Linked DNA regions of Anolis sagrei. The protein of the gene in region 3 interacts with the protein of the main gene of each other region in a pairwise test. Links are inferred from orthologs where the notes say so. Each region holds a gene or a part of one and is shown on either strand. Other genes may lie near its edges. The genes, in order: protein FAM118A, RABGGTB and WDR4.

Region 1 (7,233 bases), on a different chromosome or scaffold from region 3:
AATTTGGGAGTTGTTGTTGCTGGGATTTATAGTTCACCTACAATCAAAGAGCATTTTGAACTCCACAAACAATGGAATTGAACCACACTTGGCACACAGAACTCCCATGACCAACAGAAAATATTGGAAGGGTTTGGTGGGCATTGACCTTGAGTTTTGGAGTTGTCGTTCACCTACCTCCAGAGAGTACTGTGGACTCAAACAAGGATGGATCAGGACCAAACTTGGCATGAATACTCAATATACCCAAATATAAATACTGGTGGAGTTCGGGGGAAATACACCTTGACTTTTCGGAGTTGTAGTTCCTGGGATTTATAGTTCATCTACAATCAAAGAGCAATCTCAACGCCACCAATGATAGAATTGGGCCAGATTTCCCACATAGAACCCCCTTGACTAACAGAAAATACTTTTGTTTTCTGATGGGCTTTGATGACCCTCTGACACCCCCTTACGACCCCCGAAGGGGTCCCGACCCCCAGGTTGAATAACACTGGATTAATGGGCTGCTAATTGAGAATGCTCAATGTTAAGTATTAATGTTAATGCTTAATGTTAATGGAGCCCCTGGTGGCGCAGTGGGTTAAAGCACTGAGCTGCTGAGCTTGTTGATCGAAAGGTCGCAGGTTCGATTCCGGGGAGCGGCGTGAGCTTCCGCTGTCAGCCCTAGCTTCTGCCAACCTAGCAGTTTGAAAACATGCAGATGTGAGTAGATCAATAGGTACTGCTCCGGCGGGAAGGTAACGGCGCTCCATGCAGTCATGCTGGCCACATGACCTTGGAGGTGTCTACGGACAACGCTGGCTCTTCGGCTTAGAAATGGAGATGAGCACCACACTCCAGAGTCAGACATGACTGGACTTAATGTCAAGGGACTACCTTTACCTTTACCTAATGTTAAGGTAAAGGTATGGGTAAGGAAAGGAAAGGAAAAAGGAATCGAGAAAGGAAAGGAAAGGAAAAAGGAAAGGGGAATAGAGAAAGGAAAGGAAAGGAAGGGAAAGGAAGGAGGCTCTCTGGGACCAAAGCAATGGGGTTTTTGCCTCTCCCCAAGGACGGAAAGGGCAGGAGAAGCTCAACGGACACGGCCTCCAGCTTAGCCTGAGAAATGGGTCAAATCCTGCAAAGCCTCCCTTCCTGCCTGGATTGCAGATCAGATCGAGAGCGCTGGCTCCCTTCCTTCCCTCCTTCCTTCCTTCCTTCCTTCCTTCCTTCCTTCTTCCGCCCGCCTCCCTTTACCTGGCCCCGCTGGCGGCTGCTCTTCCTCGGCCGGCTCCAGCCAGCGAGAGGACCGCAACTCCTCCTCTTCCTCCGAGGCTGGCGACAGTGTGAGAGAGAGCCTCCTGTCTGTCTCGAGGAGCCGCTGCACGCCCAAAGCATCCTCAGGTCCCAAAGCAGGCCAATTGCGCGCGCCGCTGGCCAGCCCCAGTCAAGCGGGGGTCGCTGACCAATCCGGGCAGCCGCATCTCGGAAGCTAAGCCCCGATTGGTTGGCTGCCTGGATTGTTATTCTTCTGCTCGCTTGGGTACCCGAGGATATTTGGAAGAGACCTCACTACCCAGAGGGCCCAGAGAAAGACATTACTAGCATAAGCTTTCAAAAATGTTTACACTAGAGATGTCTTTCCCTTAATCTCAAAAGTACTGCTAGACTCCTTTATATTTTTTTCTGTTCAAACTGACTGCCAGGCTATCAAATGCTAATCAAGGTGGTCACTTGAAACATTCACACCTAGCTCCAGCAGACAAGAGTCCTTTGTCCCACTCTGGTCTTTCCACAGATATATAAACCCATTTTCCTAGTTCCAACAGACCTCACAACCTCTGAGGATGCTTGCCATAGATGCAGGCGAAACGTCAGGAGACAATGCTCTAGAACAGGGGTCCTCAAACTAAGGCCCGGGGGCCAGATGCAGCCCTCCAAGGTCATTTATCCGGCCCTCGCTCAGGGTCAACCTAAGTCTGAAACGACTTGAAAGAACAACAACAACAACAATCCTATCTCATCAGCCAAAAGCAGGCCCACACTTCCCATTGAAATATTAATAAGCTTATATTTATTAAAATTGTTCTTCATGTTAATTATTGTATTGTTTTAGTGTTTTTGCATTACAAATAAGATATGTGCAGTGTGCATAGGAATTCATGCATGTTTTTTTTTTCAAATTATAATCCGGCCCTCCAACAGTTTGAGGTACAGTGACCTGGCCCTCTGTTTAAAAGGTTTGTGGACCCCTGCTCTAGAACATGGCCATATAGCCCGAAAAAACCTACAACAACCCAGTCAGTTTTTTAGTGGAACAGAATGCATAAGGTTGTGGGTCAACTACAACTCACATTGTGCCAGGTTAAGCCCGAGAAACTCCATCAGTACTTAAAGTTTGTCATTTTGGGCAAGTATGCTCTGGATGCGTCATCGGTGGTACAAAATGCTTTACTAATAATATCTATCTAAATAAAAATGTAATGTTCGTTTGTGCGATTAACAGAACTCAAAAACCACTGGATGAATTGACACCAAATTTGGACACAAGACATCTCTCAGGCCAACGAGTGACCACCACTCATAAAAACACTGAAAAACACAGCAGAAGGGACTAAAAAAGCCAAAAAAACCAAAAAAAATCATTACAACGCACTCCATGCCACACTGTACATCCTGGTGCGGTTTGGAGAAGGATGCACCATGAATGATGGGACTTGCCATACCTGCACTCCCTTTCTGAGACCATTACATCTGCCAACAATGATAGATCAGGACCATAATTCACACAGAGAGCCCACATGACCCACTCTACATCCTGGTGCGGTTTGGAAGAATTTGGATATGGATGATGGGACTTGAAGTAACTTCACTCACTTCCTGAGAGCACTGAGACCCTCGCCAATAACTGTTCAACATCCTACTGCAGTTTGGAGGAGGATGGACCATGAATGATGGGACTGTAGTGAATCATACCTTGTAGGCCGAAGCCAAAGCCTTTAGAGACAGTGAGCCGGCCTCCATCTTGGTGAGGGAAATACAAGGAAAGCCAGATCAGCAGAGGGGAAGAGTTTAGCTGCCCCAGGATTGGCTAGGACAGATGGGAGGAGCTGAAGCTGTCAGTGTAAAAGGGAGGCAGGCAGCTTCTGGAAGAGAGAGAAGTGATTGAACATCAGACAGAGAGAGAAGGGATTTTAAGGGAATTGAATTTCAAGCTGAGGGAAGAGGGTAGTTTGAGGGTGAGTGGAATATTTCCTGAGGGAGAGTGTTGGAAAGGCAGGTGTGGCTATAGAGTGGCCTGGAGAGCCAAATAGCCGCTTGTGGACTGGTGTGAGAGGAAACCACACTGGTTGTTATACACTTTAAAGATCAGAGTATTCTAGTGGGATCTAGATACGCTGAGGGAAATCGCTCACATCGAAGAACAGATACACAGTTGAGAAGTTCAGCAAGCTTGTTAAGTCTTAGTAACTGTTTAAGAAGATTGTGCTGTGCTGACCATATATGCTTTCGTAATTCAAAGAAGAATCCAGATGTTTGTTCTAATATATTTAAATAAACTTTATTCTAGTTCAACTTTACAAGAAGTCCTCACAGTGATTCATTTCATTAAGCCTGTTCCAGTAGAATTCTAACATCTTTTCGCCTCAGACACATTAGGGAGAGTTAAGGAAAGGGCTGTGGCACTCTAAGCTTTACCTCACACATAACATCAAGTTATATTCTCAAAAGCTATTTGAGTGGTGGCAGTAATATCTTAAAAAAAACACATAGAGCTTTGTGACAGGTGTCCAGTTGGAGCCTAAGAAGACAAAGTCCTTTACTCTGTTCCTTCAAATTGATACCAACGGCCAAAGGGGTCATCCAATCTAGTTTACATTGGTGACCAGATGAGAGCAATATAACAGTAGAAGGAACGGGTGCGTGTGTGTGAGCTAGGGAATACATTTGAAGCATTATTCCTTAGAGTTCCGGCCAACCGTTGCAATCTGGTGGCAAGTGGTGGGATAAAAAGGTTTTCCACCCTGCCAACGGCTGATCGGTTACTTGGTCCTTTAGAAGCATGTAGTACCATCACTCACTTACCGAAACCACTGCGACCCTAATCCAATGATTGATCAAGACCAAACTTGGCACACAGAGCCCCCATGACCCACTCTACATCCTTGTGCTGTTTGGAAGAGGATGGGCCATGGATGATGGGACTTGCAGTACCTCCACTCACTTCCAAAGACTGCTGCAATCCACATCTAATGACCGATCACAGAGCCCCTATGAGCCACTCTACATCCTGGTGCTGTTTGGAGGAGGATGGACGATGGATAATGGAACTTGCAGTACCATCACTCACTTTCCGAAAACACTGTGACTCTCATCCAATGTCTGATCAAGACCAAACTTGGCACACAGAACCCCCATGACCCACTCTACATCCTGATGCTGTTTGGAGGAGGATGGATGATGGGACTTGCAGTATCTTCACTCACTTCCTGAAACCACAGCGACACTCATCCAAATACCAATAAAGACCAAACTTGGCACAGAGAGTCCCCATGGCCAACTCAACATTCTGGTGAGGTTTGGGGGAGAACAGACTATGGATGATGGGACTTGCAGTACCTTAACTTACTTTCTGAGACCACTGTGACCCTCATCAATGACGGAACAAGACCAAACTTGGCACACAGTGTCCCCATGACCACTAATGCTTTCCAAAGTTCTTTGTCAGCACAGAGATAACATTCAGATACAATCCTTAATGGACTGGATAATGGAGAAAGGCAGGGAGTTTCAGAAAAACATCTATTTCTGCTTCATTGACTATTCTAAAGCCTTTGACTCTGTGGATCATAATAAATTGTGGCACGTTCTTGGTGGGATGGGCATACCAAGCCACCTTGTCTCTCTCCTGAGGAATCTGTACAAGGACCAAGTAGCAACAGTCAGAACTGACCACGGAACAACAGACTGGTTCAAGATTGGGAAAGGCGTATGGCAAGGCTGCATACTCTCACCCAACCTTTTTAACTTGTATGCAGAACACATCATGCAATGTGCGGGGCTTGATGAATGCAAAGCTGGGGTGAAAATTGCTGGAAGAAACATTAACAACATCAGATATGAAGATGACACCACCCTGATGGCCGAAAGCGAGGAGGAGCTGAGGAGCCTTCTAATCAAGGTGAAAGAAGAAAGCGCAAAAGCTGGGTTGCAGCTAAATGTCAAAAAAAAAAAAACCCCAAGATTATGGCAACAAGAATTATTGACAACTCAAAAATAGAGGGAGAAAATGTGGAGGCCATGACAGACTTTGTATTTCTAGGTGCAAAGATGAGTGCAGATGCAGACTGTGGCCAGGAAATCAGAAGACGCTTACTTCTTGGGAGGAGAGCAATGATCTCGATAAAATAGTAAAGAGTAGAGACATCACACTGGCAACAAAGATCCGCCTAGTCAAAGCCATGGTATTCCCTGTAGTAACCTACGGATGTGAGAGCTGGACCTTAGGGAAGGCTGAGCGAAGGAAGATCAATGCTTTTGAACTGTGGTGTTGGAGGAAAGTTCTGAGAGTGCCTTGGACTGCGAGAAGATCCAACCAGTCCATCCTCCAGGAAACAAAGCCCGACTGCTCATTGGAGGGAAGTATACTAGAGACAAAGCTGAAGTACTTTGGCCACATCATGAGGAGACAACAAAGCCTAGAGAAGACAATTATGCTGGGGAAAGTGGAAGGTAAAAGGAAGAGGGGCCGACCAAGGGCAAGATGGATGGATGGCATCCTTGAAGTGACTGGACTGACCTTGAAGGAGCTGGGGGTGGTGACGGCCGACAGGGAGCTCTGGCATGGGCTGGTCCATGAGGTCACGAAGAGTCGGAGACGACTGAACGAATGAACAACAACAACACAATCCTTAAAGGAAAATGGCGATGCAGCCGGAGCCACGACTCTTCACTGGCTAATCATTAAGCAGCACAATTAGAGAAGAATACTGACAACAAACTGATAAGTCACTGCCAAATCACTCTTATCTCAGAGGGAGTTTTGGACTTAACCAGCAACACTCCATTAATCGACCTAAAGAGAAATAAACAAAGAAAAAACAAGAAGGGTGAGAAAACAAGCTGACCTGTTTAGCCTTCTATGGCTTCCGGAAGCTGAAGCAGTATTTGTATTATAACTTGTCCTACAATCGTTGTTATGGTTTCAGCAAAGCACCATTCTACTACTGTTTCTCTACTACAGGGTGGAAGGCTGTAATTTCCTCTCCCTGCCTGCACTCCTAACCCTGTGGCTGCAGTTTAAAACAATCCTTAAAAGCTTCTATAGTTCTAACATAGTTTTGTGCTGCCTGATACAACTTAGACAATCCATGATTAATGCATTCTTTTAATGTTTTGGTCTATGGAAATTACCCTTTTAAACAAAATATACAAGATATAATAGTGTCGAGATCTGACCCAAATATTTGTTTCTTAACTTTGCATTATAAAGAAAACAACCATTTTTCACAGAATCATAGTCAATACATCACTGTTAGATTAAATTCCCTTCTTCAGCAGCTTCTTCCCTCTGAATATCTGGTTTGCTTTGATCGCTGGCCACTGTTTTGCCTTCTCCTTTCTCCCTTCGATTCTTTGAAACTTTAGTTGCAAAACCTCTATTTAAATGGAGCTGAATTATCTTTCGTTTGTTTTATTAATCCACAATATTTGTATCACACCCGGGAGCTCCGGGGAATGCTGTCAGCCGGCCATTCTCCTTGGCCATGCTGCCCTTCCCTCTTTTTCCCGCTTTGAGCCCATCTTTAAATCTCTTTTCCTGTCCACCAACGTTCCATTTTCCGTTCTTAAGTTCAGAGTAGAGCAACTGCTTTGGGAGACAGTGGTCAGGCATCCGGACAACGTGGCCGGCCCAGCGGAGTTGATGTTGGAGGACCATCGCTTCAATGCTGGTGGTCTTTGCTTCTTCCAGCACACTGACGTTTGTCCGCTTGTCTTCCCAGGAGATTTGCAGGATTTTCCGGAGGCAGCGCTGATGGAATCGTTCCAGGAGTTGCATGTGACGTCTGTAGACAGTCCACGTCTCACAGGCATAGAGCAGGGTTGGGAGGACAATAGCTTTATAGACAAGCACCTTGGTCTCCCTACGGATGTCCCGGTCCTCAAACACTCTCTGCTTCATTCTGGAAAATGCTGCACTTGCAGAGCTCAGGCGGTGTTGTATTTCGGCGTCGATGTTGACTTTGA
Region 2 (7,646 bases), on a different chromosome or scaffold from region 3:
CAAAACAGCAAATATAGTCAATTTATTTTTATTAGCAAAGGTATTTTAAACAACTTTGATTTCACATACTTTTTCTTTACTTTTATATTTATATTTAGCTGTAACATAGCACCAGATGTATTTACTGCAAGAGAATTACTGTACTTCCTTGCCTTTTTAAAATACAGAAGTCAGGGAAGATAAGTACACAAATCCTACAAAATTACATCTTCCAAAGAACTAAACCTTTTTTTAAATGTAAAGTGAATTTTCAAAAAACACGGGATGCAGACATTTATTTAGCAAAACATTGAGGAAGTCCTATTTTTTTAAGAATACAGTGATATCTTTAAATTTAAAATGCCTCTAAGGTTTCAATAGATATAATACATTACAAAGTATTGCTATTTTCAAACACAGAATTAGTCATTGAGTCATGCTGATGAAAGTTAACATTTACTTATTTAACATCAGCCCTTCATCTTTAAATCAAATTATTTTATGAAGGAGGAGGACCACATAAAGGTTGAATCCTCTTTACAGCTGTTTTTTAGGTCTCAGTGTAATTCTAGAGCTAAAGAGCTAAATCTTCAGCTTTGGACTCAGATAATACATGCCAGTGTTACATCATTGACCTGCAAAACATCTGTAATTCATAGACTGATAAGTTTTTCTTTTACTCATCTTTTTAAGTCATTTTATAAGCTATTTTAAGAGAAATAAAGGCAACTGAATGCACATTAAACATGATACTCACATAATCATCCTTCTTTGTTCCATAAGCAGCTATGTAGTCTGCGTGCTTTTCTAAGAACAATGTAGCCGGTGCATCATTTTTTATTATGACATCTTTTTGTGGTGTTCCCTTAAAATAAAATTATTCAATTATTTTCAGAATGGTTTTCATATGAATTCTATGTCACAATCTAAAACTAATTTGGAAGGCTGCAACAATACTTGTGCAAACACATGCCTACTTAAAGCTTCTAGTAGATTCTAAATAGTTTCCCTCTACCTCTCCACCTAGTGGTCTGGAGCTTGAACTGATTCCTTGCACCAGTTCTGGGACTGGGCAGAGGCCACATGTTGCTCACTCTCAATTTACTGAAGAAGTTTGAGAAGACAATAGAACTGTAGTTCTCAATCTGTAGATCCCCAGATGTTTTGGCCTTCAACTCCCGGTAATCCTAACAGCTGGTATTCATTGAAAAGCTATAGGAAAATGTTTTTTATGATAGAACTAAGTAGGAAATGGCATTTACAAAAATTGTGTTACAAAGTACAGGGTTAGTCAAAATGCATAGGCCAAACATACATACAATTGTATGTATGTTTGGCCTATGCATTTTGACTAACCCTGTATAATCAAGAGTTTTAGCCTAGTTTATGGAGGCTGTAGAACAATCATTTTTATACTATTTCTCTCTTCAACTTAGGCTAGAATCTGCCCAGGGTCCTTATCCAATGAGAAATTAACACTTGTTCATTATATAGTTTCCTAAGTGGAGTCAATAAATAGGTCAGGCCCTGAAAATCTTTTTATGTAACTTACTCATTTCTATTTAATTCTGGGTTTCTGGATATATATGCAAATATATACCACCACCACCACCCCCCAAATTCAAACGCTTTCTGGTTCCAAGTATTTTGGATAATGACTACTCAACCTATACTACAACTTATGATATGGTGCAACATATTATGTAATACTAATAGTATAATATACTGGTAGTATACATATAGTGGTATAACAACTTAGCACAATATGTAATATAATTGTATATTATATATGATATGTTATTAACAATATTACAGTATTGTGGTATAGTACAATATAATAGTTTATAACAATATTGTAATATAATATATTACAATATAATACTACTATGCTATTAATATAATGTAATATAATATATTGTATATACATATATTTATAATATAACGTAATGCAAAATAATACGAATATTATATTATAATTATATATTTATATTACATGTAATATTACTAATAATATCATAATACAATGATATAGTACAATATAGTATTGTACTATATATATTGTATGAATATATATCTTGTAAGCCGTTCTGAGTCCCCTTCGGGGTGAGAAGGGCAGCATATAAATGTCGGAATAAGTAAATAATATACTACATATATATATATATTAATATTACAGTGCGATATAAGGCTTGTAATACAACATAACATATAATATTGTAATGTATAATAGTACTAATATATTATTATATTAACTATAATACTACTGATAAAATATACGAAGATATTATACCGTTTTGTTGTATATTTTAACTTGATTGCGAGCCGCTTTGAGAAATAAAGCGAGATAGAAATAAATATATAATATAATAAATATAAATAAATAATAATAAAATAAAAATAAACCTGTAGTTTGAGCAGGAGAATGGCGACTGGTGGCCATACATGGAGCCTGAGGAGGGAGCCATGTCCGACGCCCACGAGGCTCAGAGCGAGACAATGCAATTAAAAAAAAAATAACCCTTCCCCACGTTGAACCGGAAGAGGCGGGGCAAAAGTGGGCAGCTGAGAAGCGGTCCACCAAGTTCGATCCGACTTGACCTCGTGGTTCTCTCTCAGGCGCGAGCCTGCGCGCTCACGTGACCCACACCGTAACTCTTCTCTGACTGGCAGCAGAACTGACCTATCACTGCCTAGCCTCTGGCTCCTCCCCCCCCCCCCCAGGTTTTCACCAACCCGTTCTATTGGTTTCCGCCTCCCTTCCTATTTTCTCCCCCCCGCCCTTCGAGACTCTCAGAAAACCCACTCTATCCGTTACGGGTAGAAAAAAAAGGAAGGGGCAATAAAGAGCAAAAAAGGCGAAAGATAGAATTAACACGGCGCGAGCGGGGGGAGGGGAGTTACAAAAATCACCTCCACCCTGAAGCGAAAATAGACGCAAGTTGCGGCTTACCATGTTGGCACATCCGTCGCAGCCTGCCGACTGCGCCTGCGCGCGCTCGTCGCTTGAAAGGGCGGGGCGCAAAGGACGCACGCATCCGCCTCCAGTGCTTGAGGACCCCGTCATAGCTGCCCAAGTATTGCCTGTGTTCCTTCACTAAAATTCATTATCGCCTTTCGAGCGCATCTTGGGCCTCTCAAGGGTGTTTCCTCTATAGCTCAAATATACGCGAGTTGTGACCCTGTTTTGTACACTAAATCGACATTCGGTTATGGTTTTACTGGTTGATCGTGTTATTGACACCGATACACGGTAGATTTTTGAAATGAACTCAGTCCCCTGTATCAAGCACTACACAGTATTCGCTCAATCAAGGATCACTGCTTGTCCCCTGCTTCGCCCAGTGCTCATTGGGAGCCTCTGCAGGATTAAGTGTCATGCTTCAATACAATGGAATTATGGGAGTTGTAGTTCAGTGAGGCACCAACACTCTTCACTTAAGTGCTAAAAACCTTGCAAAACTACAACTCACAATACGCCATAGCAGACAAAGCGGTTTCAGACCACATTCATTCTATACTGTGACTCCACGCCTACTTATCCTCTGCCCCACTGGCACATTAAATGCCATAAACCTGGGAGTCTCTGCAAACTTACCGGGTTATCTTCTGTGAAGTCCTAAGAAGTGTTAGCTATGGCAACATTGGTTGCATATACACAGTAGATTTAATGCAGTTGGAGACCACTTTGACAGCCTTGGCCCAATGCTATGGAATCCTGGGAGCCATAATTTGATGAAGTACCGACACAATTTGTCAGAGAAGGCAGAAGACCGTATAAAACTACAGCTCCCAGGATCCCACAGCATTAAGCCATGGCTCTGACACACCCATATAACCCAGAACATCAAGGCAGAAAATCCCACCATATCTGCTTTGAACTGGGTTATCAGAGGGTCCTTCCACACAGCCCTATATCCCAGAATAATGCGTGATAATGTGTGATTTTTTGCCTTGATATTCTGGGATATAGGGCTGTGTGGAAGAGCCCTGAGTCCACACTGCCATATATTCCAGTTCAACAGGTCATGTGGGATTTTATTCAGCTGTATAGAAGGGACCTGACGTTCTTTCAGGAGGCCGAGAAGCACCTCTCTCTCTGCTGGACTCCTTCTCCTGCCATTCACAGAGGGCACAGGCAGGAAGGACTCAAGGCCCTTTCACACAGCCATATAACCCAGAATATCAAGGCAGAAAATCCCACAATATCTGCTTTGAACTGGGTTATCTGAGTCCACACTGCCATATATTCCAGTTCAAAAGCAGGTAATGTGGGATTTTAATCAACTGTTTGGAAGGGGCCTGAGACATCCTCTGCTGACCTCAGCCTGTTGCCCAGAGACAGGGAAAAGCATGCCTCCAACCTGAGTCTGACTGTTAAAAGATGAAAGATGGACGCTTTACTGCTGGGAAACAAACTGGACTCTGTTCTTCCAGATTCGGGGAAGGAAAAGAGCACAGGGGTTGTAATTTGGTGAGACACCAGCACTCTTTGGCAGAGAAGGTTAAAGTTCAAGTAAAACGACAACTCTCATGATACCACAGCATTGAGCTACAGCAGTTAAAATGGTGTAACAGCATTAATTACACTGCACAAATGCAATCTCAGAGGGTGCAAGCATCTTACATTTAAACTTCAATAACTAAGATAGAGTTTTGACTTATCAATCTCCAATATATGAGACTTGAACTCTTCCTAATCCTTGATTCACAAAATAACTCGAAATTAAGACATAAATATTTTTTTCACTTTCCATGAAAGCCAACATGGTCAGTGACACTGTGTCATGAAGTAAAGCTGAAGTCTTAAACTGAAGGCTAAAATGAAAAAACAAAACAAAAAAAACAAGAATTTATCTAAACTATGGCAAGATAGAACTCAGGAGAGTCATTTTTTCAAAAGCATTTTACAGCAAAATCTGGCAAATTATATCATTTGGGCACCAGACACAATGCACAATCACTGATCCATTTATTTCTTTGTTTAATTTATTCCTCTGGTACATTCCAACCGGGGTTGCAATATGAAATATTCCATTTCAAAATGTTTCAATAGTATACTTGCATAGATATAGGACTAACAAACACAGATTTTCTTTTTACCCTTTCCTGACATTTTTTTTCACCCAGAAGTGGGAATTGCAACGCTTTCCACATATAGTTATGTTGCAGCTTCCAGCAGTCTTGCATCTACTCAGCAAACCAATTGTGATGGTATCGCAATTCAACATCCAAAGTGACAAGCAACTCCATAAACTAGAAAGTATTCAATTGTGTCAAATGTGTAACTGAACTGAAGTAAAACTGAAGTGTTGACACCAATACATTCAGCCACATCCTTTGAGAAATTTTAAAAATAAAAACATTTCATTGCCAAAAAATATTCACAGTCTAGGTTACAAAGGAATTAGCTTTAAATGTAATACTATAGCTAATAAAAATAATGCTAGTACTTTAAATGTTACTAATAGAAATATTGCATTGTATGGCAATTTTTTAATCATGTTTGAGTATTACCAAATACCATTTAGCTGCTTCACTTTAAGCAACTGCAAAGGCACTGTCATCATTAAATACACTCAAATAATGTTCAAAACAAGCCTCACAATTATTTTACATCTGCCACACACTAAATTGATTATAAAACTATTAACAATTTACAAAGAAACAGAATTATTTTAGATAAATAATTATAATGTCATCAAAATGGATGGCTTCTTCAGAGGCACTGCTTTAAAAGCACTAGGATGGATTTATAAAGGCACTGCTTTAAATTAAGTGGGTGATGGCCACAATTGAAACAGATTTAATATTCTCTCTCTGTGCTGCTGAGCTACAAAAAGACATAGTATTTTACATTACTATGTTAAATACTTAAAAGCCTTGTGCATAGAATGGCAAGTTCGCAGTAAACCTATGGACAACTTATCTGGTATCACTGCAAGCAATATACACCTCATATTTTAGCTTGCTGTAACATTTCGTAGTTATTAAAAGGCAAACAGGTTCACAGAATTGGTATAAACTGTGATAAACTCACAATTTCAATTCACAATTCACAATTTCCCACTACACAGAAAGATACTTAATAGCTCTTCCCACAATTGTGGTATTTGTAACCCAAACTGCTGAGGCTAATATCAGATCTTACATATGGCACTGAAACAGTTAAATTTTCAGATTCCAGGCATTTGAAAGATATTGCAGAGTAGACTTCAGAAGTCAAGCATAACAATCTGGGTCAGTTTAAAGCCAAGTGAAAGCTTAACATTCTAGCAAAGCATACAGTACTGACATGTAATGCCTGAGAAAATTTCCAGGCTAATTTTTTTAATTGTTAAGTATGCAGCTTTTTATGTATTAAAAATAAGAAACAGATATGTCATTGAAAAAATGTTCTACTATAGAGGCAATTTTTCTTTTAACATTATAGAGTGGAAACAAGTGTTTGCGGAAGTGGGTTAATGCATGCTAGGAATTCAAGCATTAACTATATGGTTTCCGTGTTCTCTCAACCTTTAAATCTGCCAAGATGTTCACGGCCTACAATTAGCCTTTGAATCTGTGCTGTTCCTTCATATATCTGAAAGAGAAAATATTTAATAAGTAATATGTGCACTTGGACCACTCTGCAACTATACAGAATTTCAGTGAAAACAAGATAAACCTTGGAAGTGATAACAACCCAAATGATTCAAAATTCAAGTTGCAAAATATGTTATGGGGGTAACATAATGTGCACTAATCACTTCAAGGCTGAACATAATGGAAGGGGTCCAGAAAGCTTCTTTGCACAAATTCTAAATACTTTGATGTTTTCAGTGAAATGTTTACACTGAAACCAGATAATAGTACATCACAAACGACTTTAAAAGTCCTCTTGCTTTGAAGAAAAAATTATATATGGGAACTGTTGTTTAACAGATACAAACCCTTTGGAATGTATAAAACCATATTCTGATATTTTGTTTTGCCATCATTTGAATTATAACAACCAATATCCCTGTGGCAAACACTATTCTCTATCAGTATATTTTTTTTGTTATTGGTACTTTTGTAGTACTTTGGGGGGTGCATTTACAAATGCATATACAATTTGTAATAAATAACACTGATATGCTTAGTTTTCATATAAACTGACTGCATATCATCAAAGCTATCTGACAAAACATTAACAGCACAGTATATAATCATCTACAAGTATACTCAAGTCTAAGACAGCAATCCTATGAAGTCTTCGTCAGACTTATGTACTACTGAATTTAGTAGAATTTATTTTTCAGCTAATGTGCATACAAGCACTCAGCATAGGTACAAAGAAGTTACAGAGGGATAACTGCTACTAAAATAAAGAGAGCATTACCCTACAAAAAGACTCTTCAATCAGTTAGATTTATTAGTTCAAGAACAAATGTTTTGACTGTCTAAACAGCATGTCTTTGACTACTATTTCTTCTTTTATTATTAGTTCTTAATACACACATTGGTAATAGCAAGAGCCACCTTTAAGGATGCAATCTCTTCTACGATAATTCCTCATAAAACAACTGGTGGCACAATTCTTGCATTATGCACAATCTTTACAAAAAAGTCAAACTTTTCTTTTGAACTACTATGTCTCATGCAAAATGTTGTATATTAAGAGACTACTACTATGAATCCTTTAAGAC
Region 3 (7,317 bases):
AATCTGCAGAATGTGGAATGCATTGCAAATACTTGTCTTTCTGAGAAAGGTTGGAGAATTTAGGATGAGCAAGTAGGCTGCCAAAAATGCCCCAAGGACATGGCTTAGCAACAGGAGCCAAACTTACCCCCTGGAAAGGATAACCGATTATCTCTACTCCAAACTATCACTTCCTCTTTCCCCCTATCTCATATGCCTCTAGAGCACTGGTGCATATCTCTCTGGGAAATGGCAAAAATAAATGCCACAGAGTGGTTTGAAACCAGGTTATATTGTAAATGTAATCACTCTCCTGGCTTCAAACCTAGAAGTGAGGCCCCTTCTACTCTGCCCTATACCCCAGGATCTGATCCCAGATTATCTGATTTAAATCTGATATATGACTCTCCACTGCCAAAAAATCTGGGATAAAAAGATAATCTGAGATCAGATCCTGGGATATAGAGGCAGTGTTGAAGGAGCCTCTGGCCCCATCTGCACTGCCATATAAAATCCAGATTATTTGCTTTGAACTGGATTATATGGCAGTAAAGAGTCATATAATCCAGTTCAAAGTAGATAATGTAGATTATCTGCTTTGATAATCTGGAGTATATGGCAGTGTAGATCCAGCCTCAGGGCCCTTCCACACAGCTCTATATCCCAGAATATTCAGGCAGAAAATCCAACATTATCTGAGTGTGGACTCAGATAACTAAGGACCTTTGAACACAGCCCTATATCCCAGAATATCAAGGCAGAAAAATCCCACATTAACTGAGTGTGGACTCAGATAACCCAGTTCAAATCAGATATTGTGGGATCTTCTGCCTTGATATTCTGGGATATAGGGCTGTGTGGAAGGGCCCGCAGTTCAAGGCAGATATTGTGGGATTTTCTACCTTGATATTCTGGGATATAGGGCTATGTGGAATGGCCCTCAGTTTAGTCATCCACACAGTGAAACCGGAATCTGATAAAATGTTTCCAAATATCTGTTCAGTGTGGGAGTGTTGTGTGCAGCTGTATGGCCGTGTTCTAGCAGCTTTTTCTCCTGACATTTTGCCTGCAGCTGTGGCTAGCATCTTCAGAGGATCTGGTGGTGTTAGGGCAAGTAGAGTATATATACCTGTAGAACATCCAGGGTGAGAGAAAGATCCAATGTCTATTAACCAAATGTGAAGGGTGCTGTTAGCATGCTTGATTTGCAAGTTTTGAGTGGGATCCCTCCATTAGCATATGAGTAACTGAGACCCCTTCTACACTGCCATATAATCCAGATTACAAAATCAGATAATCCATATTATCTGCTTTGAACTGAGATTATAGGAGTTTACATTGGCAAATAATCCAGTTCAAAGCAGATAATCTGGCTTTTATATGGCAGTATAGAAGGGGCCTAAGAAGATTGCATAGTCAATAGTGAGGGTATCTGCCTAGAAGTTACTGGGCACAGAATGTTATTTGAGAATACTGAAATTCTGGAACACTATGACAACCATTTTGTCACACCACACAGAGTAGCCACTGAAATCCACAAGCACAAGAAACCATGAAAATAAACAAAATTTGGCTACTAGTATTGAAAAACACCAGGATCAAGACTGCAACTAATAAACACCCCCCAAACACAGGCAGTCTCCATGCAGCAAGCAACCAAAGTCTAGTGAACACCACCCAGACAAAGGATGTCTCCAGGCCATAAACAATTCAAAGTGAACAAAGGCCAGGCTACTTCTAGGCTGATGCCCTTACTGGCATATTACCTCTGAAGATGCCAGCCACATATGCTAGAGAAATGTCAGGAGAAAATGCTACTGGAACACGGCCATAAGTCCGAAAAACTCATAGCAGCCTAGATGTCCTTACTATTGACTATATCTGGGATATAGGGCTGTGTGGAAGGGCCCCCAGTTCAAAGCAGATATTGTGGGATTTTCTGCCTTGATATCCTGGATTATATGCCTGCGTGGAGGGGCCTCCAGTGATACAAAAGAGCCCTGTTCTCCTCTCTGCCTCCTCCTGTATTACCTTGAACGGTGCTGCGCGACCCCAGAGAATAAACAGAGAAGCCGCCATCTTGGTGTCCCACTAAAATTCTCCCCGTTGCAACCTCAGTCACAGAACAAAGGTTCCGCCTCTTAAGTGCTCCGCCTGAATCTGTGGCCTTTCCCTGAACATGACTCGTCCAGAGTCCCTCAAAAGCGACTCTTTCTTGCTGCAGGGGTTTCCTTCTTCCTTCAGTGTCTGCAAAAGCAGCCTAAAGATTGCAGATGAATAAATACAATTGTTCATTTCTTTTGTGTAAGGTTGGCAGGCGAGAGTTGAATTCTACATTGTGGAATTAGTGCAGTTTAACCCTACTTTAACTGTCATTGCTCAATGTAGAGGAATGGTGGGAGTTGTCGTTTGGTGAGGCACCACAACAGTCTCTGCTGGAGGAGGTGAAAGGTCTTGAAAAACCACGTCTCCCTTGATGTCATGGCAATTAAAGGGGTGTTGAATTATACAGTATAGAAGCAGCCTGTATGGGGCGTGGTGGTGGTGGTGCCTTTCTTTGTATAGGTCAAGCATCTCTTATCGAAACACTTCATAATTATCTATATGGGTGGTTGAGACCGTGACACTTTTCAACAGTATGGACACTTTGTTTCAGGTATAATTTTTTACAATGCATTTCAATCCAATTAAATTGCATTGCATGGGTCTATGCCAGGCATGGGCCAACTTCAGCCCTTCAGGTGTTTTGGACAGCGGCTGTTAGGAATTATAGCAGTTGAAGTCCAAAACACGTGGAGGGCTGAAGTTGGCCCATGCCTGGTCTACCCTGACCATATAGTTTCTGACCTCTGCTACACTGGCACATAATCCAGTTCAAATCAGATAATCTGGATTTTATATGGCCACGTAGAAGGGGCCTCAAAGTGCATTTATAGGGTCAGGGTAGATCCAGGAAGGCCTTTTTCAGGCCCCTTCAAAAAAGCTGTATAAAATCCACGTTGAGCTGGATCATATGGCAATGTGGAAAGAGACAATCCAGTTCAAAGCAGATATTGTGGATTACCTGCCTTGATATTCTGGTTTATAAACGTACATATTCATTATAAATCTTAATAAAGACAGGACAGTGCATTGCTCATTCTTGAAAGCTAAAGCTCAGTAACACTCACAACATTAGAAATGAACCAACACTTTTGGCAATATCTTTTATCAAGTCAGATTTTCTTGCATTAAATTGGCAATAACTGAGGCCCCTTCCACACAACTGAATAAAATCCCACATTATCTGCTTTGGACTGGAATATATGCCAGTGTGGACATAGGGCCCTTCCACACAGGCCTATATTCCAGAATATCAAGGCAGAAAATCCCACAATATCTGCTTTGAACTGGGTTATCTAAGTCTACACTCAGATAATGTGGGATTTCCTGCCTTGATATTCTGGGGTATAGGGCTGTGTTCAAGGGCCCTCAGATAACACAGGGCCCTTCTCACAGCACCATATCGCAGAATATAAAGGCAGAAAATTTCACATTATCTGCTTTGAACTGAGTTATATGAATTCACACTCCGATAAGGTGGGATTTTCAGCCTTGAAATTCTGGGCTATAGGGCTGTGTTGAAGGGTCTCCAGGGTCCTTCCAGACAGGTCCTAAATCCCAGGAATTTATCCCAAGTTTTCTGCTTTATGAGTCCCCACTACCAGATAATCTGGGGTAAACAGAAAACCTGGCATTAGATCCTGGGATATAGGGCCTGTCTGGCAGGGCCCCCAGTTCAAAGCAGATATTGTAGGATTTTCTGTCTGGAAGGGCCCCCAGTGCGCTGGAATTCAGTAAGCTGTATTTTTTTTCAAGCTTTCTCTGCCCTAGAGCATTGGTGCTTCATCAAACTATAACTCCCAGGATTATAAAGCATGGCAGTGAAAGTGGAGTGTCAGGCTGCATTAACTCTATGGCAGTGGCTCTCAACCTGTGGGTCCCCAGATGTTTTGGCCTTCAACTCCCAGAAATCCTGATAGCTAGTAAACTGGCTGGGATTTCTGGGAGTTGTAGGCCAAAACACCTGGGGACCCACAGGTTGAGAACCACTGCTCTATGGTGTGGGTGACACTCTTGTCTCTTTACCAAAAAAAACAAAATATTGGTGAAAAAAATCATGAGAGGTGTTCCTTTTGGTACACAAATCGAGCTTTCTTGGCCCAAGTCCAATTTCGGATCATACCGGAAGTCGGGGGTGCGCACGCGATAGACGCACCTCTTTGGCGCGCCGGGTCTTTCCGAAGCCTCTCGGCTTCCTCCGGCAGGCTGTCCCATGACGTCACTCGGCCGGCGACGCCGGGCTCTGTTGTCCTTCCACGTGGGCGCGATGGAGAAGGCGGCAGAGGCGACCCGTGGTGCGAATCCCCCTCCGGGGCTGGCCCTCCGCGGAGGCCTGCTGGCGCTCACCGGCGGGACGAGGCTCCTGGCTGCCCGCTTGAAGGAGCCCAGGTGGGCAGCGTGGAGGCGAGGGGCTCTGGGTTAGACTGCAGCCTCATCTACACTGGAGAGTAGGCCTGGGCAGACTTGGGCCCTCCAGGTGTTTTGGGCTTCCACTCCCACCATTCCTCACAGCCACAGGCCCTTTGCTTAAGCGGCTGAGGGGAAAAAGCAAAGGGCCTGTGGCTGTGAGGAATGGTGGGAGTGGAAGCCCAAAACACCTGGAGGGCCCCAGTCTGCCCAGGCCTGCTGTAGAATATATGCAGTGACACCACTTTAATAGCCATGGCTCAGTACTATAGGATCCTGAGAGTTGTACTTTGGTGAGGCAACCGCGCTTTGGTTGAGAAGGCGTTAGACCTTGCAAAACTACAACTCCCGTGATTCCACAGTATTGAACCAAATTGCATTACATGGTGGCCAATTTGCATTACATCCACAGTGCCGATGCAATCTATATCCATATATCTATATATGGAAAATATACTGGAGGCCATAGCAGATGTATTTATGTGTACCCTGCTGTTTTCCAAGTTACAATCCCTATTTATTTATTTCATACCAAAAGCATTGCATACATTAGTATAAAACTGACAAAAATAGAAGGAATGCAGGCGGCTAAATATCTTTTGACCAAAAATGGGCAACAGCAATGGCATTGTCTGTAGCCTCCAACAATTCTTCCTCTGTACATGAGGCAGGGCACAGTGGACAAGCATATAGATGCGAAGATGACTGTTCTGCTCCACGGTCACATAGAGTGTGGGATTCTTCTAGGTAGTGTCATTTTGCCAGGTTGTCTTTTGATCTGCCCACTCCACTTCTGGGTCTGTTCAGGGTCTTCCAAGTTGCCCATTCTTGGTTTGCCCCTGGAGGAAGACCGTTGCGGGGGGGGGGGGGGGGGGATCCAGTTGGGATTTCCTGGTTTAGCTGCCCAGAGGGATACCCTTGCTGTTGCTGGAGGGACGCCAAGAGGAGTGGTAGTTCTCATAAAGCTCCTTGATTGCAGTCTATTGAGGGGAGGCTGGTAGCCATGTAGTGGATGGCTTTCACAGTGTTCAACCTTATTTCTTTCACATTTAGCAGCAATTTCTATCGCACATTCGGGGGGGGGGGGCAGTGCCAGCTAGCTTGTAATCAACAGATGTAGGTTTAAGACATCCTGTGGTTATTTTGCATGTTTCATTCAATGCTATGTTCACCTGCTTTGCATGAGCAGACCTATGCCAAACAGGGAGTTACAATACTGACGTTGTAATAAAAAGCAAGGATGGATTGCACTGTGTAACATGATTTCTGTTCCTAGGTTGTAAATGTCATCTCCTAATTAGTTCTATCATAAAAGCATGGGAAAAGTTTATTACACTGCAAAAACTTTTGTTTTCGTGGGACATCCTGCAGTGACAAAATGAAATTTCTGGGGTGTAACAACTACTTTCAAAGTAAATAGTGCACAATTAAACAGGAAATGACACCTTCAAACCAGGAACAGTTTTTTTTTTCAAATTTTGTTACATGGTGTTATTAATTTAGGAGTTTTGGGGGTGAAAAGGGCTCAAACGTAGCACAAATGATGAAAAAATACTGACCCGCTGCATCTTTTTTTCTAATTTCCAGCCATGATGATATTTTTGTTTATGACTGTGCCACTGCCAACAAGAATCCTCAGGAAAAGCAAGGGTGAGACTGAAAAAAACTTGCTTTACTTGAAATATAATTTTAATTGCTATCTCATTTAGAGGTGTTTAGTAACAGATAAAGATGAATCAAGGCCCGAATTATTTGTATGAAAGTTTTGCCTTTATAAATGTTTTTCTCAATTTACAGTGAACTAATGGAGATATATATATATATATATATATATATATATATAATCACATCACATCACATATAGGCTTTCCGATAGTACTGGTACTGCCCTAACATTAGCAGCAGTTCCTGTTCTTGACATTTAGAAGTTATTTCACTTTAAATGGATGGGACCTGAAATAATTTCTTCTCTCTTTCTCTCTCTTTTCTTTTCTTTTCTTCTCTTTATTTTATTTTTTAAGAAAAGATGGAAAGTCATCAGGTAAAGCAAGTCATGATATCCTCGCCTGTGCATTTTCTGCATCAGGAACATATTTTTCTCTGACTGATGACAACAAACAACTGATTCTTTTTCGCACAAAGCCTGCTTGGGAATGTCTTAGTATAAGGTATGGAAAGAAAGGTGTGTGAAAAATAATATAATACGAACAGTGGGAACAGCTGTTCATATAAACTTTTGATTTTATTTTGTCATTTCTTACAACTTACTAGAGACGTGAGTGTCCAAGTCACCCTGTTCTCCCTGACCAAAATCTTACCACACTTGATTTCTTTCTCAATTCACCAAAGGCTTTAGGTTAAAAGAGGCATTGGGTGTGAATTTTTAAAGCTAAGAAATAGATTCAAGAAAAAAAATCACATGTGTTTTAGCTGTTTGTTCTGGGTTGTTTGTTAACCTGATAATAGTTTTGTGTTTTGGGTTGCTGTGAGTTCTCTGGGCTGTATGGCCATGTTCCAGAAGCATTCTCTCCTGACGTTTTGCCCCATCTCTGTATTTATTTATTATTTACTATATTTGTATACTGCCTTTCTTAGCCCTTAGGCGACTCAAGGCAGTTAACAGGGCAAAAATCAATGCCTACAATGTCATAAATACAATTAAAAACATAGCATATAATAAAAACTAAAGAGTTCACTAAAATATAAATTCATAGTGTCTCCTTGTTAAACATGTTATCTGGACTCATTGTCTAGTCATTCCATTTTCCTGTGTCAGTTACTCTGCATTTGCAAACTCTTGTTCAAAAAACCACATCTTGACTTTTTTCC

What was found.
Region 1: the proteins of WDR4 (region 3) and protein FAM118A interact in binary tests that used the Homo sapiens proteins (3 or more experiments, as listed by UniProt). The two-hybrid records come from large-scale screens. The link is inferred for Anolis sagrei from reciprocal best matches to the Homo sapiens genes WDR4 and FAM118A.
Region 2: the proteins of WDR4 (region 3) and RABGGTB interact in binary tests that used the Homo sapiens proteins (3 or more experiments, as listed by UniProt). The two-hybrid records come from large-scale screens. The link is inferred for Anolis sagrei from reciprocal best matches to the Homo sapiens genes WDR4 and RABGGTB.

What each region holds. Positions count from the first base shown.
Region 1 is NC_090025.1:100,455,445-100,462,677, reverse strand, and holds the start of protein FAM118A, read right to left. Parts: upstream 3,007-7,233; 5' UTR 2,962-3,006; intron 1,396-2,961; exon of another isoform or gene 1,384-1,395; coding exon of another isoform or gene 1,243-1,383; intron 1-1,242.
Region 2 is NC_090024.1:160,845,687-160,853,332, forward strand, and holds the start of RABGGTB (geranylgeranyl transferase type-2 subunit beta), read right to left. Parts: upstream 3,059-7,646; 5' UTR 3,044-3,058; coding exon 2,930-3,043; intron 845-2,929; coding exon 737-844; intron 616-736; exon of another isoform or gene 531-615; intron 1-530. Other genes in the region: ACADM (medium-chain specific acyl-CoA dehydrogenase, mitochondrial), read right to left, coding at 6,488-6,559. UniProt on the Homo sapiens protein: Catalyzes the transfer of a geranylgeranyl moiety from geranylgeranyl diphosphate to both cysteines of Rab proteins with the C-terminal sequence -XXCC, -XCXC and -CCXX, such as RAB1A, RAB3A, RAB5A and RAB7A.
Region 3 is NC_090023.1:75,200,062-75,207,378, reverse strand, and holds the start of WDR4 (tRNA (guanine-N(7)-)-methyltransferase non-catalytic subunit WDR4), read left to right. Parts: upstream 1-4,245; 5' UTR 4,246-4,294; coding exon 4,295-4,470; intron 4,471-6,075; coding exon 6,076-6,138; intron 6,139-6,509; coding exon 6,510-6,656; intron 6,657-7,317. Other genes in the region: NDUFV3 (NADH dehydrogenase [ubiquinone] flavoprotein 3, mitochondrial), read right to left, coding at 2,011-2,058. UniProt on the Homo sapiens protein: Non-catalytic component of the METTL1-WDR4 methyltransferase complex required for the formation of N(7)-methylguanine in a subset of RNA species, such as tRNAs, mRNAs and microRNAs (miRNAs).